Lytechinus pictus: one gene and its partner. The protein of the gene in region 1 interacts with the protein of each later gene in a biochemical or structural test. Links are inferred from orthologs where the notes say so. Each region holds a gene or a part of one and is shown in the gene's direction. Other genes may lie near its edges.

The links.
Region 2: the proteins of E3 ubiquitin-protein ligase RFWD3-like (region 1) and replication protein A 32 kDa subunit-B-like form a complex in vitro, tested with the Homo sapiens proteins (3 studies listed by BioGRID, with this or other methods). The link is inferred for Lytechinus pictus from reciprocal best matches to the Homo sapiens genes RFWD3 and RPA2.

What each region holds. Positions count from the first base shown.
Region 1 is NC_087250.1:13,547,467-13,557,686, reverse strand, and holds the start of E3 ubiquitin-protein ligase RFWD3-like, read left to right. Parts: upstream 1-5,907; 5' UTR 5,908-5,993; intron 5,994-8,286; 5' UTR 8,287-8,307; coding exon 8,308-8,424; intron 8,425-9,764; coding exon 9,765-10,220. UniProt on the Homo sapiens protein: E3 ubiquitin-protein ligase required for the repair of DNA interstrand cross-links (ICL) in response to DNA damage. Plays a key role in RPA-mediated DNA damage signaling and repair.
Region 2 is NC_087261.1:4,469,342-4,479,361, forward strand, and holds the start of replication protein A 32 kDa subunit-B-like, read left to right. Parts: upstream 1-5,964; 5' UTR 5,965-6,143; coding exon 6,144-6,162; intron 6,163-9,169; coding exon 9,170-9,288; intron 9,289-10,020. UniProt on the Homo sapiens protein: As part of the heterotrimeric replication protein A complex (RPA/RP-A), binds and stabilizes single-stranded DNA intermediates that form during DNA replication or upon DNA stress.

The sequences.
Region 1 (10,220 bases):
AGTATTTTCCCGCGTTTTCTTTGTCGCAGATATGCTTAGCTACTACATGTCCAATGGCAGTGACCCCCCGGCCCCCTGGAACTAACTGCTAAAGAGGTAAAGGACTTAGAAAAAATACAAAAAAAGAGTTTGCAAAATAATTCTTGGTTCAGATTATATAGACTATGAAAATGCACTAACAAAATGTGGATTAGAATGTCTTGAAAGAAGACGAAAAAAACTGTGCATGGAGTTTGCTAAATCTCTTTAAAAAAAAACCCTCAATAACTGGCTACCAAAAAGGAAAAATGTCTCAATCTCATTAAGAGGTGTTCCAAACTTTGCTCAGATAAAATGCAAAACAGATCGTTTTAGAAAATGTGCAATACCATATTTCATTGATTTACTAAATTCTAAATAAATTTTTACTTTCATACCCTTGAAATCAATTCGTATTTTTGCCATTGTTTTAGTCTCCATTTCAATCCAATTGATATTTGAATTTTTAATTGTCTAATATTCATCACTTTTTAAAATTGTATTTACATAAGTTTCTTTTTCCATTCTATTTTATTATATTTAATGAATTTTATGTACACTTGCTCTTTAAAAATTATTTATTATCTATGTACATGTGTTTAAATTGTAATTGTTTGCTTTTATCCGTGACTTGTGAATGTTTTATTGTAAACATGCTAATTTCAGCCTTCTGGCTGTGTAACATGTATTGTTTTTATACGAAATAAACCATGATTGAATTGAATTGAACTGAGTGTAGCCAATTAATAGGGCCAGCATATAATACCTGCCATCTCGGTTCTGTATATAAGTAAACATACCACCTGACAATTTCTTTGATTGTTATGCGGGGACCATATGGGTGACGATCGGTGTTCATGGTTGGTTGGGGTGGCCGGGAACTCGCCATGGCCATACTCAGAATTTGTTTGGGGGGGGGGGGGGGCAAGACGCGTAAAAATTTGAAGAACCTCAAAAACAATTAGGAAGTGTATCGACCGAGCTTGCCTTTGGGGCGCTTTTGCATTTTCTCAAGTGAAATTGAAGGATTTATTAAACACTTTTAATTCATTTTTGTGAAAATTTTCAGTAAAACAAACATTTTTCATAATTTCGGGGGGGGGGGGGGGTACTGCCCCATTTCCCCCCTGTTTTCTTTGAGTTTTTTTTTAAAGACCTTTTAATACAAAAATCTAATTATGAACTAGATTTTGCCATATTAAAAAAACACACACACATATATATACAGAGAGAGAGAGAGAGAGAGAGAGTAATTACAAATATTTAGTAAATGCCGTATATATATATATATATATATATATATATATATATATATATATATATATATATATATGGTCATTTTCAATTCAATATATATAATATTTATGTATAAATGGGTAATAACGCTGAACTTCCTATATGGTTCATTTTCAGGAAATTAAAACAGTTCGCGCTCACATTTGTACGTAGTATCTATATGTAAGCGCGAACTGTTTTTTTTTCAATTTCCTGAAAATGAACCATTTAGGAAGTTCAGCGGTATTACCCATTTATATATATATATATATATATATAAATATATATATAAATATATATATATATATTTATATACATATATACATATATATGTACACAATTTCACCCTTTTCTTCCATGGTCCCCATTAAGCCTCACATCTATACGCCAGCGGGGGGTCCTTATAGGAGTTATAGATTTATTCTACAGCCAGACTATAGATACTACGTACAAATGTAAGCGCGAACTGTTTTTTATTTCCTGAAAATGAACCATTTATAGGAAGTTCAGCCGCGTTATTACCCATTTATACAATCTTTTAAACTGTCATTTCTTTTATAGGCCTATGTTCTCCTCAGACTTATTTTACATCATAAACCGGGATAAAGAATGATAACAAAAAATGAAGTGACATAATTATTATGTCACTTCATTTTTTTTTTATTAGGGGCACACCCAACTCGTGTTGTTGGCTGCTGGGAGGGGTAAGATAAACATGAACATGCTGGCCCGAATTCACAAAGGTGGTTTTGAAAACCCACGGTTGAGTCCATGGTTTATGTAGATTTCCTGTATAAATTACGCTCAATTTAGCGCGTATCGGGCGCGTGTATAAAAAATGTCCAATTCCGATGCGCGCTTTTGTCACAGTGCGCCAAATTGACGCCTGTTACCATGGTTAGATACGCTATTTTATTCATGAGTCCACTGTTTGAAGAGTGGACTCATGAATAAAAACAGTGGACTCATGAATAAAATAGCGTATCTAACCATGGTAACAGGCGTCAATTTGGCGCACTGTGACAAAAGCGCGCATCGGAATTGGACATTTTTTATACACGCGCCAGATACGCGCTAAATTAAGCGTAATTTATACAGGAAATCTACATAAACCATGGACTCAACCGTGGGTTTTCAAAACCACCTTTGTGAATTCGGGCCGCTAAGTTCTATTTCATCCTGGATATTTTCCCCTCGAGGCCTATCTGTTTCTAAAACTATATTTCAAAGGAATTGTTTCATTCAATTACAATATTGTGTGAAAAGCTTTGCATTTGTTCAGTAATCATATTTGCATCCGTATGATTTCTTTTGTTCTCTTTTTATTTCCTGTAATACATATATGTACGCATATAAGAATAAGTCTACTATACTTTCTTCATTTCCAAGGGGAATCCACACTTTACAAGCTTTGCTTTTTAGTGGATCCCCTCATTTCCATTTATGCTCTATATTATACTGTTTTTTCTGTGTTTTTTTACGAAGTAAGAATGCCCTTCTGTAAAATTGTACTTGATTTGTATTACTTTATATTACTTTGTATTATGTTTTGAATGGAAATGAAATAAAAGAATTGAATTGAATATAGGCCTACATAGGAAATTTTAGAGAGAAAAAAAAACAAAATGAAGGTCGTATCATGCGTATTATACGACGATCGATATTACCATTACGCTCCGTCAGTATTGTATTCCTTGTATCACGATCATATATACTTGTAATATGATTCATAGTAATCATTATGATGTTCGCCCGGGGGGGGGGGGGTGGCAGTCAAATGTATTGCTGTACACCTGCGTGACCAAATTATTTCCAAACACCTCCTAAACGAGTTTTTTTTCTCTGTGTGCAAGTTAACCCCCTAATCAAGTTTTTCGCGGGATTTTATTTTGGCCCCTAGTTATAAAACAAATTGCCGCGTGGACAGAGAGGTGACAAATTTCATGACCGTTTTCCCGTGTCCCGGGAAGACCGTCACGAACACTTTTCAGAAACGAGGAGGAAAAAGACCCGGGGAAAAGCGGGGGAAAAAGCTTGGGGAAAAACATACCCTAAACACGTTTGGCTAGTCTAAAAAAAAACGTAGCTTTGGAAAATACCTTAAATACGTTTGACGCGATTGATTATTGACAAGTCTTTCAAAACCACCTTTAAAAAAAATCGGTGTTTTTGATACCCGTAACGAGTGCACGCATGGCCCACGTCTAAAACTGAAAAAAACCACCCCTAAATGGTTTTTTTTTGTACAGCAATATATTATGCATAATTATGTTCGACCGCAATTTTTTTTTTATGGGGGGATGAGAACACATGCCACCCCCCACCTGAAGCCTTATAGGGGAGTACTAACCCCATGCACTCCTCGATCGTGATCGATACCCATATGGATGCCCGGGGGGGCCACTTACATTGACGAGTGGATACCATGCGCGACCAAAAAAACACGTAAAAAGGATGTCTTTTTCAAGATAGGGTACGTTACGTACGTAACGTGATAAGGGTGTCAAAAACACAAAAATAATGAAAAAAGGGTATCTATTTCGCTAGGAAAGCTACGTGTTTAAGGTCATATTTGGGGGAATGATAAAACAAAATTAAAATGTTTTATAAAGGATGTCCTTTTTGCCCCAACACTACGTGTTTAGAGTCCGATTTGCGCGAGGTGTGGAAGCTGGGGCCGTACTAAACCAAATGGTGTGTAAACTGTAAAGGTAAAACCGACGACCGATGGACTCGTGACATAACAATCAAATATCGCTGTATACTTGTTTAGGGATTCATTTCAGGGAATACTTGCCAAGAGTATCGTTTTGTTTCCAATACTTGTTAAGGGTAGGGTTTCAGACGCCAATACTTGTTAAGGGGTGCATTTTCAGAATTTGGAAAATACGTGTTTAGTGTGCTTTTCGAGACCCCATGGTCGCGCATGGTATCCACTCGTCAATGGAAGTGGCCCCCCCCCCCCGGGTATGGATGAGTCCCTTAATTATGGAAACACCCAAATATGATTAAGATCACCGTGATAATCATCATTACTACAATTATTATTATTATCACTATAATGATGATCATCATCATCCGTATCGTAATATAATATTAATGTATTATGCATGTTTTACTTAAAAAAGATAAAGCTAAGGATCGACTATAAATTGGCTTCTTATGTGGGTTGCTGATAGGGCAGTCAGCTATAGTAGACAATATAATGGTCCATTTATATAGCGCAGCTATTATAATTGCATATACTGATCTTGATTCTTGGTATATTATGACCCCGGCTGTACAGTAGCTGAGCCGCCACGGGCCTATATAGGCGCTAAAGCATTCAAGTTAGGAATAAATCCTACCGGGTACCCATTCACCTCACCTGGGTCGAGTGCAGCACAATGTGCTGGGTAAATTTCTTGCTAAAGGAAAACACGCCACAGGCTGGGATTCGAACCCACTCGTCAGGCCACACATCCTTATAAGTCGAGTGTCGTAACCACTAGAATACGACGCCCACAGTAGGCCTATTGAAGACTTGTGTAATTCATGATTGTGTAACGTAGGCCTACGTGTTGCTGAGGACTTGTACTGGCAGTTGCATATATTTATAATATTTTTTATGCGTATGGAAGAGAAACATAACACAGTGGAGGCAGCAATAATTTTGAAATTTTTTGAAAACTTAAAAAAATATAACTGAATTAAGCTGAATAAGCATCCTACTCAAGCTGTTTTAAAGTAGGCATACCTCAATACAACATTTTCACTCATAAAATTTTACAAATTTTCTCATCCATGCAGTCACTGTTAGCACAAATCTTTCGAGTCATACAACATTCAAAATTTAGCTGGCGCTTCGTGCACGCAGTGGCGGTGCATTGGTTAATAAAATCTGTTTAATTGGATAACAAAGGGGCTAAAAAGGCCAGTGTTTAAGCGCAATATGCACAAATTATTCTTCATGTGATTCAAGTTTTCATTATTTGTTTTAGTGAGATACGCATCCTGCTTACAAAAAAGTGATAAAAATTAAAAAAATATTTTTAAAAAAACTCTCGCGCTACGCCTCGCATCAATAACTATAGTACCCTTCCTATATAAAAAAGTGATTAAAGTTTCATCATCTGCTTTAATCTTCAAAGGGCTCTGCAGCCTATCTCGAAGATGAAACATCAACAAGGAGGCTGCAGTGATCACTTTTTCCTGTCGGTGACTGGTTATATTGATCGACACTTCCTGAATATATGATCAGCATAATGACCTTGTCTAGAATGTTATATGCTCTCTGACTGACCTTCCCGATATATTTATCATCTCACGATATTCAGCTCGCGCTTCACGCTCGCATTACTTATTTGGGGAGATACCTATAATCTCAATCGGTCAGGTCCCTTTTCAAGTCAGTAGGGACTATGATTTTGAAATTTTAACTCGCGCTTCGCGCTCGATTTTGGGAACATCACAGACAAAAAAAAATCATGTCTGCCTTTGTCCCCCCCTAGTTTAAAATCTCGATGCTGCCACTGACATAACATCTTATGGAAGACTGGGGCCCATTTGTAAAATTACAGGATATTTAGTAAATTATAAAATTCCACTGTGAGTTTCGTTTTGAAAAGTGGAAGCACTGCGCGCGCCCTCTATTATCGAGCGCGCGCCTGATTATGAAATCGCATCTTCTCTGCATCATTTCGTGTTAATTTAGGATTACAGTAAGTTAGATTATTACTATTTTTTTATCTTAAAAAGTGAATACATATGTGAATTAGGCACAGTGTGTTTTTGATACGGAAGTATTTTGAAGCTGGTGTTGAAACATAAAACCAATTTGAAATCTTAATTTTGAATGATGGTCTGATTTTGACTTTGTCTCGGCACTCTGTCTCTGCCAGTGCCCTGCTTCGGCTCTGGCCCGTCTGGCACTGACCTCGCCTTTGGCTTCCTCTCCCAGGCCGGGCCGGGGGCAGTGGCGCTAGCTTAGCGAGCGCTATGCTGGCGCTGGTGCCCCATCGCGGAGCGGAGCTGGAGACGTTCGAGAGCTGGCAGCCGTCTGTTTGGAAGAGTCTTCAATAAAAAAAAAATTAAGCCATTGGAGCTGAGTGCAGTGGAACAATCAACTAGTAAGAGAGACCAAACATGCAGAGGGACAGGGGACAAATGCAATGCTCAAAACTAGCAGTACGGCAGTAGCACTGCCTGGCCTGGAAACGAAAAGTTATACTTTGTCTTTGTCCTTGTTTAAGTTAAACAAGAACTTAGTCTTAGAACTAGAAGGAGCCGTGGGAGTCTGAGTATCAAGACTCCAGAGGCATACGCCCATCGTATGGACCACAGTCATCAGTAGAGGCGCACGGCCAATATTGGAGACTATCTCTAATGAGTAATGTGGCAGATTATCTCCAATATCAGAGACTTTTGTAAAGAATTTTGGTAGGCCTATCCAATTTTTAGAGACAGTCTCCAGTTTTGGAGCACTCCTAGTACCAATGAGGTCCAACATTACATGTATGGACCTCATAGGCGACATCAGTAGTATTTTTGGTTAGAAATCTCTGAGAACAGGATATTTATATTATTATATCACAAGTACAAGCTATATTCCTTTCTCTTATTTAAATTATAATTTTATAGTGTAAATGCATCGTTAGCAAAAAAAAAAAAATGAAAGAAATGAAGGGGAACTTACATTTTCACGGCTTTTTCCTGATTTTCTGGGCAGCTGCTCTTCTCTTCTGACTCGCGATCGAAGCTGATATGAAGATCACGTGATTCGCGTTCTCGTCAGCTGATCGGTTGGTTATTCTTTTCGTCAGACGTTAATAATATATATTTTATAATGCTAGCATTCATCGCTAATTTAGGTGAAAGAGATTGAAGTTAAACAGCGCCAGGTCGGAATCATAATTATTTTGGAAGAGTGTATTTATACACTCGATCTCATACCTGACGTAGACGGCGCTATTCAACAAATGCACAATCTTCAATATAAAAAATAAAACAGAAAGAACGCCTTGAACACAGGCCAAAATGCCTAACGATTTCTCCGCGGCATTAACAACTATCGTAAAGGGCGCTCCATTTATCAATAAAGATGGATGCTAAGCTGTCTATGGCGACAAAATTTGCCGCAAATATTTACGAAGAATTGTGAGAAATGGTCTGAAAATGCAACAAAAGAACCGGTGAGTACCGATTAAACATTATTAAAGTTGTAAATAGATTATACATACCTTGTAGATTTAGTTTTTAAGGTGATATTAGTGCTTAGTTCTAAGCTAGGGAGGCCCAAACGCGCGTGAGTGGAGTCCCAGTTTATTAGCACGGGTAAGTATTGGGGTGTCGCCTAGAGTGTTTTGGAGTCCAATTTCCTTTGTTTACATTTGCTGCAAAAGGATTACCTTGGCGGCAAATAAAAATGTGATAAGCAGATTCTTCATGAAAAATTACCCCTTTTCACCGACACCGTCTACTTTAAAAATTCACTGTCTACTTTTGTTTTGATAAGGATTTTTGTTGTCAATCACACACAAAACAAATGGGCTTCTGACCCCAGTGAGACAAAATTTTGGGTGGAAAAAATCATGCTTTTGTTGGTGTTGTTTCTTTTGTCCTTTTGCAAAGCAAGTCTCCAATGTGGGAGATTGTCTCCCCTATTGGAGAGAGTCTCCCATATTGGCCGTGCGCCTCTACTGGTCATGACAGTGCCAGTGGTGATGCAGTCTTAAACTTAATTTAATTATAAAGCTTATCCAATGTTGCAGATTTAATTGGGTAGATCTAGTACAGAGTAGAGCCCATATGGCCATAACCTTGTTCATTGAATGAGTGCTAGAGCCTAACTTCTAAGACTAAGTTAAAGGAAGCCCCCAAAATAATTGTTTTTTTGCAGAGCTCGAAAGACAAAGGGAATTCCCCATCTTAATGTCGTGCAGAACGAACCAAAGACTTTGTTTCTTGTGCATGTGCATCCGTTTAATTTTACATTTGATCTTCTCTTTAATACAGGTTATGATTGATTGATGACCAATGGATCACGGTGATTCTGATGAAGATGATAATGGTTCGACCATCCTCATCGAAAGTGATCAAGATCTATATGATTCAGATGCTACAGAAATATCACAGGATCATGAACACCATCAGGTTTGCATAACATTTTCAATATTGAAAGAAAAAAAAATATACGGAGAGAGTGAATTAAGAGAGAAAGAGAGAGAGAAGGGGGGGACGCAAAAATGGCACTCCTTGCAAAGCAGGGAAAGAATTACACCGGAGCTGGCCAGTAGGTGATGTGGAGTTGCCCTTGAAATGCTTAAAAGAGAAACTAAAAAAAAAAAACCCATTCATCTGATGAAGCTTATCCAATGTTGCAGATTTTGACATGGAATTCAGTGAAATTTGTTCGCTTGCCAAACATCGTAAACTTTACTATCTTCAAAAATATAAATACTGCCATGACGAATTTCGTATCAAATGAAAGAGCGTATTAAGCTCTTTCACATGATTGGGATGCTGTTGGGATTTAAGTATATTTTAAGTGAAATTTCCTTTGAAGAAAAAAAGTAATATTCATGCCAAATGTATTCTATTATTATATTTTCAAACATTGTTTCATAGAAATATATAAATGTCAAATATATGCTTGATATTACATTTTCTATCTGTCACCACTGAACAAAAAAGTTTGTGTTGAGAAGTTAGAAGCACAAATATGAAATGTTTTTATCAAGTTTTTATTTCTAATTTGTCTAAAATATGAAAAATTTCGGGGAAAAAATGACACCTAAATATTATTCAGCTCCTGATGACAAAGCAGTGCAATGAAGGGGCATGACATACTCATTTGTTCAATTCAAATTCGTCATGATAGCACAAATATTTTATAAGATAAAGTCATTTTATGTTTGGCAAGTGTCAACTTTTCTTTGAAATTTTCTGAGTGTATGTAAATTTCTGGCCTCAACTGTACATGTATGTAGAGCCTTGTCAATCTCTAAGTCTAATGGTTCACAATCACAGTACGGTAATCACTGATTTTTTTTTGAAAGGTACTCTACTAGGGCCAAGGTTGGACATATATGCTAATATATATTCTGTGGAATAAACTACATCAAAGACACACATTTCTGTGTGAAAACAAATCTTCTGGTTCTGTTATAGCCATTTTCTGAGATTTCTCTTGACTCAAATTTGACAAATTTTAGAGGTACATGTAATGGTTCTTGCCAAAATTGGCATTGTCTCACCCCTTTCATCAGTGCCTTTAAATGTTGTCAGAATTTTGGGAACAACAAGCAGATTTTGCCTTTTTTGTGAAGGAAAATATGATTTTTGTTGTTGTTGCTTGTCAAGGAATTCTGAAATGCTGTTTGTACTCCCTCATTTATGAAATCTCTGATCCCCCATTGGTTAACATATGTTTACACTGTACGTGCATTATCTTTGTGAAAGCGGTCCTCTTATATTATTTGTTACCCATGCAGGAACAAGAGGGAGGTTTATCACCGACAAGACTTGGGCAGGAAGAGGGACGTGATTCATCCCATCCCGCTGACCCTACTCAAGATCAAGGTCAAGGGTCGCAATCAGACAGCGAATCACTTCTGATGCTTCCTCACCAGAGAAGTGAGAGCCGGTTAAATCCAGTTGAATCCAGACAAGACAGAGTGCCTGATGTAGATATTCCTGGGCCCAGTGGCCTGCAAACTTTCAGAACTAGCCAATCAGCTGCCAGCTCAAATGCACATGCAAATGAGCCAAGAACTTCTGACCAATCACAGACACGAATAGCTTCAGCTTCTCAAGGAACTTTGGAGAGAGATGGTAATAGATCCTCATCCATTGTTGATGGGGGTCAAAGGTTATCTGATGTTCCTCAAGGTCAGAGCTCCTCCGATGCTCTTAGAGGTCAAAGTTCAAATAATGATGGAGTGCAGCTA
Region 2 (10,020 bases), on another chromosome or scaffold:
GGAACCGCTTGTCAATTTTTATGCGCGCACTTCTGTAAAAATGAATGGAGGTGGAAATAGGGAAATGTGCGTTTGACTGAACTGAATAAAGCACTGCTGTAAAGTTAGCCCTGTAAATGTAATATTGTACGAAGTGAACGGTAATTCGTAATTTCATAATCATGATAATTCAATGCCCTAATTTCATACTTTTACCATTTACAAAGTAGCTTGCCTTACAGACCAAACACGGAAATTGTCACACTTGCATTTTCCACATTAATCATTCTCAAGAGTAAAAACTGTAAACTATTTATATTGTCAACCATAACGACAAAGGCAACACACACAGTACAGTCAGGCCACACAGCTCAGACACAGTCACAGTACAAGGGCAAGGCAAGCGCTACTGGCACTGCTAGTGCAGGGCAGTGCATGCAATCCAATGCAATCGCGAAAGAGCGAAAGGCGCCACGAAAGTCGAAGAGAAAGACATATGAATACCGGTTTCCTACAAATATTCAATATTTCACACAGTGCATTCTCAAAAGCATTGAAAGATCACAACAAAATCACAAAATCAACTTATGCAGATATAAACAAAAAGTTTTAAAGTCCAAATCAAACAATACTTACAACTCGTTGCTGGCCACACCGCAGTGATCGTCATTGAATGAAAACATAAACGCCGGTTTCCAATAATGGTGGCCACGCGATACAGTGCAGTGCACAATACAGAAGTACGATACTTTCCTCATCAGGGCTTGTTACACAGTCAATAGTAATTGATCAAAGGATTGATTTTTACAATTGATCATACGCAATAATCAATGACATTAATGATCGATACCAACCTACAATCAATTATTAAAATTTCATGTAACAGGGCCCTAATCCTGCGCGCTCTTTTAGTATTTCTTCCTCGATTTTTATCTAATTATTTGTTCCCTTAATTCTTTGAGTTTGATGTATTAAAGGAATGCGATAACTATAATGTTCATGTACTAGATATAGTTCACTATGGAAATGAAGTGGTATCACTAGCTGTTTATTGTGGCCTATATGTTCATTAATTGAGAAAAACTCTGGGAAAAACTTGAATCTTTTGAATTTTTTTCTCGCTCGCTTTGCTCGCTCAGGACTTTAAGACCTTGCTCACGCCATGTTAATTGTGCCCCCTCATTTTTCAAAACCCATTAGGCCTGATCTATAGCTATATCGCTGATCTGTAATTTAAATAACAGGTAAAAAAATTCTCAGGGGCCCAGGCGACTTCGCCCCCAAAATAAGAGCCCTAGCTTGGCCATTAAATAAGGGAGCGGAAGAAAAAATAAAGGAAGAATTAGAACTATTGCCAAGGAAAAAGGAATGACTATGAAGGGAATATCATTGGCATGATATGAGCCAAAAGTTTTGAGGGGGCGCCAGACGTGCAAAATTGGCAAAAAGTTGCAATCGAGCGAAGACATTTTTTTGACAAAAATCTAATTTTGTGATAGATTTTGATATAACGTTCAGAAAATGATATTACATTTCACCCTTCTCTCTATTATTTTCTTGATCGTGAAAAATGTGGGGGTCTATGGCCCCAGCCCCCAACACCATCTTTGCGCCAGGTGGGGGAAATGGAAAGGAAGCTAAAATAATAAATTTACAAACAAAAACTTTAGCTCGGTTTCTTGCTCCGCACTAATTAATATTCATCTGTAAATTAGATTATGAGGATAACATGATGCTCAAAATGTTCGGGCAGGTCTGAATTTATTTGCCCTCCTAAAAGATTATTTAGCAGGGGCCACGGAAGCGGGGGGCTGGGGGTGCTTCAGCCCCCCACTTTTTTCCAAAACCATGTACAAAAACGTAAAAATGACCATATGATTGTGATTTTTTGGCTCAGCCCCCCCCCCCCCCCCCCCCACTTTGAAAACCGTTCCGCGGCCCTGTTTATGCATAACGGTTCTTTTCAGAAATTAGCAGGCGCTTCGCGGTCGCATTATTCACTTAGTTAGATAAATGACAAAAAGTGCTTATACTGGAGTAACTGAACCCAATGATCGAAGATCAGCTCGCCATTCGAGCTCTCATTGATCATGTTGTCTTTGTCTCATTGTTCTATTTTTTGTGATGAGGGCTACACGTGCAAGTGAAATTAATTGATTTCTGTTTGTATTCATGGATTATTCATCCATTATATTGTACAAATTTTGTCACGATAATAGGCCTACAATATAATTATTTTCGTTCATTTATCATATTGATGTGTATTTCATTTTGTACATGTATGAGAAATTGTAATTATCTCGATAAGGGTTCAATTGAGATCGAGGGTGAAAAAAGGGTTTCCCATAAGAGTCCTTATCTTTGTCCTTTTTGTGGAGCGTTGTGGTCTAGTGGATTAGTCTTCGGACTTTGAAACACCGGGGTCGTGGGTTCGAATCCTAGCTATGACTGGCCCTGGGAAGCGGGGTGGTGAATTAGTACCCCAAAAGTTTCCTTGGTGGTGCTGCGTGTATTATTTTTCACACTCAGCACCCCCGGGTATTCTTGAAGATTTGTAAACATGGAAAAATGTACCAAAAATGCCCCCTTATTATTTTAGTGAAAACTTTTTTGGGGGGCAAAACCTTTTTTCCACTTTCTTTTCAAATTTACATCACCCCCCCCTCCTGTAAAAAAAATCGTTCCCACGCAGGGCCCTGATGGCTATAATATGGCGTAATTTTCCTTCAACAAGAAATGTATTCACAATGTGCTGTACTCAACCCAGGTGAGGTTAATTGGCAGTTAAGACAATAATCTCAAATAATTGTGAGCACCGGAATCGGTAGACGAGCTTGGCCGGGGTTATAGGACCATAGGCGGCAGAAGGGGGGGGGGCGGGGGTCGTGTCCCCCCTAGATTTGAGGTGGGGGACCCCCCCCCATACAATTTCTGTTGATCCGAAACTTGTCAATAAGCTTGTCAATTTTTTCAAAAATTTCAGGTGGACCCCCTAAATTTGTTTGCTTCCGCCGCCAATGGTTAGGACGAGCGCCTTATTGAGTACGTACTAATTAGTATAGTAAGTACCAATCATGGTCGGCAAGTGGGCCGATATACCGAAAAGGTGACATGGCCTATATTATTGTTGTTTTCGGGTTCAGAAAGAACCAAATTCATTGTACAGTTGTAGGCCTTTATTGTTCACTGACTTTGTTTATAGTGACTTAGATCTAAATTCCTACACATCGATATAGTCCCCCTATATGATAGTCCTTAATCCTTGAATCATAGAAAAGGTAGCCTCAAAGGCCTTCATATTAATTTCTAGCGAACAATATTTATCTTTTTGAAGGTCTTTTTTCTTATCTGTTCGTTTCCTAATTCCCTTTCTCCGTCCTCCCCCCCCCCCCAATATTTCAAATATCATGATTGACCGGTGGCCGACCCTAGCTTGTGTATAGCACCCACTGATCTATATCACATAGAAAAACATAACTAATTTTTATCAGAAATATCTTGTTTTGTTGGAAATTATAGGAATGAAAAAAAATAATAATAGCCTTTACTTTTTTTTGTTCTTTCTCATTGATTATTATGGCTTACTATTACATGTATTATTGTTTTGTCATGTTTTTAGATGTGTGTTTATACAGGTCTCCTTGGTCGAGCAGTTTTTATAATTGAAAGGGGTTCTCTGTTTAATAAAACGACAAATAAAACAAACATTGTCCTCCTATATCCACCTCTTAGGCTGTTCTGTATTTTATACAACTCTCCCCTTTCCCCCCATATTCTTTTCTTCGCCTCTCCGTTTCCCTTCCTCTCTTTCTCTTTAATTTCTCCCCTCTCTCTCTGCCTCTCTCTCCCTCTCTCTATCTCACTTCTTTGTCTCACTTTCGATTTCAATATATTAATTGGAAATATATTTGACCCTCTCCCTGCATGTCCCGCGGCCTTATTTTTATTTCTTCCTCTCTTTCCATTCTTTGCCTTCCGTTCATCATCTCTCCTTTCTCCGATTTCCCCCTTTTTATCGAGGCGGGGGGGGGGGGGGGCGGGGCTATGGGACCCCTTTGGTGCCAATAGTTGGGCAATGACGCCTATGCTCACGGCCCACTTTTTTACTTGACATTTTTTTTTCGGCGCACCCCGACGTGGGCATATTAATATGACCTGTAGCTCAGAAACTTGGCGTCCAGGGCAGCTTAGGTGCTTATATAATATTGCCCCCTCCACATAAATAATTATTATAAGGTAGCTAGCTGCAAGTAAGAGTTAAAAGTCTTTAGATAACTTTTTCTACCTATTTGGCTTTCTTTTCCAGGGCGGTTTTTTTGCATGTGCCCTGAGGGCCGTGCGATTTTTTTTACTGGGGGTGCTGATGTAAATTTGAAAAGAAAGAAAGAAAGAAAGAAAAAAGGATTCAATACAAAATGGAAGTCAAATTGGTCCCGATCGAGAAATTTGAAAACAATACAATAAAAACAAACAAGGGGTTTCACTACACTAAAAATCAAGGTCACTTTGGTTACATTTTTCAATTTTGTTCACATATCAGCTTCCAGAATACCTGGGGAAGCTGCCTATGAAGAATTATACACGCAACACCCCAAAATAATTTTTTGGGTGCTTAATAAGCACGTAAGTACCCCGGCAGGCTGCAGGGCCATGCCTGTGCCCCTATTGCTTGCACTTTGCCCATCCCGGGCCCATCTCGCCCCATCGGTGAAATGAGCGAAAACTTTTGAGGGGGTCGATCTGCAGACATGGCAGAATTTCTGAGAAGCTGGAAGGGGCGAAGCGATCGATGGAAAACACACACACACACTCACACACTTGTCTTTGTGATAATAATTTTGTGACAGATTTGGACAAAACAACTTTCCTCCCCGCGCTCTCTCTCTCTCTCTATCAAAATATATGTCTTTTTGTAAACGAAAACCAAGATTTATATTTTGGGCAATTTTATACATTGTATGATTTCCGGATTCTAGACTTCTAATAGCTAGGAGTACACCGGGGGGGGGGGGGGGGGGGCACTCACTAATGCATAGTGGGTATGTGCCGCGGAGGGGACCCCCATTTTTAAACTCAAATTTCCGTTCCAGGGCATAGCATTTTCATCTTATTAAGAAAAAGAACTATAAGAAAGCCGCTCCGAAAAGCATAGCATTTTCTTCTTATCGAGAGAAAAGAAAAGAAGAAAGAAATCCGCTACAAAGCTTCGCATATTTTTCGTTACGCCGTTCCGGTCGCATTGATCCGCCACAATGAGCTGCCATTTTGGTGAAAAGCGGCCGCTGAGCGCTGTCCGACCATCGCCTCTGCGCGAACCCGTTCCAATTAAGGACCCCCGTTTTCACAAGCATTTGTAGTTCCGAAGCCCGCTCCGAGGACCCTCCTTTTTACAATAAGTCCGCTCCAAGGTCCCCGGTTTTTGTCTCGCCCGCGGCACACACCTACCAATTTTTTGGTCGAGCGCCCCCCCCCCCCGGGGAGTACACCAGATATTTCAACCCTAGCTAGGCTACACGTACGTAATAGGCCTATGCCCCCCCATATTTCGTTATTCAAATTTACTTCATCAGGGGCCGCGGAACGGTTTTCAAAGTGGGGGGGGGGGGGGCTGACCATGCAAAAAATCACAATCGTATGGTCATTTTTACGTTTTTGTACACGGTTTTGGATTTAAAAAATGGGGGAGGGCGGGCTGAAGCCCATGCACCCCCCCCCCCCCCCCCGCGGCCCCTGTTCATGAATATCCATCTTAAATGTACGGTATGTCATTAGTAAACGCATACAAAGAACTGGCTTCTACCTCCATGGTTTTACCCAACGCTGGAGAAAAAACAAAATAAAAACAAACAAACAAAATCCCGAGGTGATTCCCCGGGTGATTTCTCATGACTTCCTTGTCTTGCTCAACCGGCCGTGCATAAAGCATGCAGTGGGTGATTCGCGTTCGTAGCAGGCCGATTTCGCTCGCTTCATGTATTCCCGATATACAACAAGCCCTCTGATTGGTCAATACCAAGATTCTGGCGCGCCGTCTCCAAATTGTACTTGTGAACGGGTACGGTTCTGTGAATGTAAATTGCAACCACACTGTTTCCAATCGGAAAAAGAAGAGTTCCTTCTCTGTAAATAATTATTAATATTTGGATCGAGACTTCTCTTCGAATATGTTCAACAACCAAGGAGGTAATTACACCGTCGGCCTTAATTCATAATTATCGTGAAATATATCTTAATTCTTATCTCTCCTCTCGTGATCGAGTCTGTCAATTGAAATTTGAATGTGCAGTCGTGTGTGTGAGTGTGTGTGCTCTCACTTAGACTTAGTTAGAGAGCTTAGACTTTAGACTTAAGAGTTTTAACGTTAGACTGAGACTGAGTAAAAATGATTGGCATTATCGTGAAATTGGGAACCAGTTCCTAATTTCCACAGGACACTTTTTCACGACAAGACATGACCCACCTATCTTTTCGAGCTTGCTCACTGCTTCACCGCAGCTCAGCTGGCGCGCTGATTCTAAATAAATCGAATCCTTCAAAGAGCTTAACGTTAGTGACTTAGTCTACTCTTACTATTTTAGTTAGATCAGAAAGATTGATTTCGTCGCTGTCTTTTCTCTACTCGCCAAAATGGGAACCAGCGTGGAAAACTCCCCCATAGAGTTGTACACGCTGGTTCCCATTTTAGCGAGTAGAGTAAACAAGTTTACTCGCTGAAATGGGAACCAGCGTGTACAACTCTATGGGGAGTTTTCCATAGAGTTGTAGGCGCTGGTTCCCATTTTAGCGAGTAGAGTAAACTAGCTTACTCTACTCGCCAAAATGGGAACCAGCGTGGAAAATTCTCCATAGAGTTGTACACGCTGGTTCCCATTTCAGCGAGTAGATAAAGACAGATTACTAGTGATATTTATTTCGTTAGTGATGATTCTCTGACGAAATAAATCTGACTAATAAACTGTCTTTATCTACTCGTGAAAATGGGAACCAGCATGTATAATTCAGGAGAATTTTCTTAGATGGTTCCCATTTTGAAGAGTAGATAATATATAAAGAGAGATTGCCAATGAGATTTATTTCGTCAGTGATGATTCTGACGAAATAAATCTGACTAATAAACTGTCTTTATCTACTCGTGAAAATGGAAACCAGCATGTATAATTCAGGAGAATTTTCTTAGATGGTTCCCATTTTAAAGTGTAGATTAAACTAGTTTACTCTACTTGCTGAAATGGGAACCAGTGCGTACAACGCTATGGGGAATTTTCCATAGAGTTGTACACGCTAGTTCCCATTTCAGCGAGTAGAGTAAACTAGTTTAATCTACTTGCCAAAATGGGAACCAGCGTGAAAAATTCTCCATAGAGTTGTACACGCTGGTTCCCATTTCAGCGAGTAGATAAATACAGATTACTAGTAAACTGTCTTTATCTACTCGTGAAAATGGGAACCAGCTATGCTGGTTCCCATTTTGCTGGTTCCCATTTTCACGAGTAGATATAGAGTTTATTAAAGTGATTCATCCCCATATATATCTTGTTTGTGATTTTTAGTAAATCAATTTTGTAATCATTTTTTTTCAACATTGTGAAAGTGGCAGAGTGGTCTTGAAGAGCAGGGAAATGCGGGGTAGATGGATATAATTACAAAAATTATAATTCAGCGGAATCATCGATGTCATCTGAAAACTTGTCCACCCATGGGTAACTGAGCCCGATAAATATCGCATGAGGAAAGAGGTTACCAGTTGTGTGAGGAGCTTCGCATCGTCAACAAAGCCTCTCGCATCAATTCTTTTCAAAATCGCTGAAGCGAAGTTTCTTTACATGTCGTGGTAAAAGGAGGTACAAATTCGATTTGGTGACCAGTTCCCAAAAGCACGGAATGGCCAAATGATTTACTAACGTATGCCCCCGAGATTTCTACTTTCCTTCTAAAAGATCAAGTTAGCCCTAAGTCATGTACATGGGATACAACTTCATTTCCGACATTTCTACGATATTGATTTCATTTTTAAACAATTCAAGACAAAAAACAAGAAAAATGTAATAAAAGACAGAAAACTTGCCACCGTGTTTACGTCGCCTTCTTGATTTCATTGTCTTTCGCTTGGCGACAGTACACAAATCGCGCGGTTTGCTACACAAAGCCAGGAGGCTTCTAGAGATTAAAATCATTTACTAACGTATGCTTAAAAAAATGAAAAGTCGGGGGAGACTCGCCCGATGTTTACGCCGCCATCTTGTTTCCTATATTGTTCTTCCCCAACTTTACAGACACGCGCGTCAGTAAAAATAGATTACGTCAAGTGACCTCAATTCCCCACAGTTCACTATCTATTTTCCCCTGTAAACTGGGACGATCCCAATTTTCTGACCACGCCTCTACTGGCTACCTCACCCTCTTTGATTAGAGTCTGCTGCTTGAATCCCCCTCTTGATAGGGGAAACAGCACGCCAGAATAGTGAAAAGGGAGAGAGTTCTTAAGTCTTATTGAATCTGGGAAGAAGCTCAACTGGGCGTTGTTGCGTGTGCCTGTAATCCAAGCTACAAATTAGTTACAAATTGATGCATAGGTTCGAGGTTTGAGCCCTGGTCACGTCTTTCGGATGGTGACGTTAAGGTCGGTCCCAGACGCAAATAATCATATCTGATAGATACATGTCTGACAAAACTCAAATGCACACACACACACACGCTCTGGTAGACAAGTGTTCTGGCAAAGGGAGCAAAGCTCTTCTGAGAATGACCTCTATGCAACGATGTGGATAAGCTTTAGATTGAAGAATAATTATTACCTGTTGACTGTTGTGAACATGAATGTTTCAGCTCTTGGCTGCTCATCATAAATCATGTAAATTCTGAATGCACAAAAATTGTAAACCTCTACTCCAATAATAGCTGTAGTACCTAGTAATAATCCTCCTTGTCACATGACACTAGTAGTTGTATGTTACCCCAGCTAAGCTACATTTTATCTACAAAATCCAGGTGAACAGCTTTTTGAGGAATTCCTGTCTACCCATTTTACTCACCTAGGTTGAATGCGGCACATTGTGGATCAATTTCTTGCTGAAGAAATTACCTCATTGCTGGGATTCAAACCCATGACCCTCTGTCTCAAAGTGTGAAGACTAATCCAACAAAATGTTCCACAATTTGTAATTATTTTGTCTTTTACTTTTTTTGTCAGGTTTTGATGGATATGGTAATGACCATGGTGGAATGGGTGGAGGTGGATTTAATTCCCCAGGAGGATTCAACACACCAGGAGGATTTAACTCACCAGGAGTTGGATCATCACAGACTAAGGTATAAATAATTATATAATATGACTGGCTTTGAGGGGAATATCAAATATATGGCCCACAATATAATAATATTGACTTGAGTCTATAGTTGAGGGCAATGTGGTTCTTTTAATTGCAATATATTTGATGTTCCCTGAAAGAATAGAGAATCCATATTTTTATTATCATCTATTAATCGGACATCGAGAGAACAATTCATGAAAATTGAGAAATTTCTTTTAAGAGTATGGTTCTTTTGTGTCATGTTTATGTCAGGGGCTTAAGGCTCTGCACTTTACCATTATGACGTACTTGCAATTATAAGATCGCGTCCCTAGGGTAAAAGGATGCATATCCAGCGTCCGGATCCAGTGTTGACTTTATTGTTGCTGCGCGGATCATTACAAAGTGTATAATCTCTTTCTATGCATCCTCATATGCCCGAATAGGAGACCAGGGAAAATAAAAAGGTACATTTTGTGTCGTCTCTGCATGCAAAGTCAATAAGGGCATAGAAACTGAGCAAAATACGTATACCTATCCCTTCCTGATATTCACAAAATCTAGGGCAATACACTGTTGTAAATGACCAACTCAAATGTCTGATACATAATAATTCTTATATACCAAGGGTAGCCACTTCAGCTCTTATAAACTATCCCAACATTCCCTGCATAACATGTAATAAATTGAGTGCCTGACATTTAAAATCTTTGGTATTACTTGGCCGGGGATTGAACCCTCGACCTCCCGT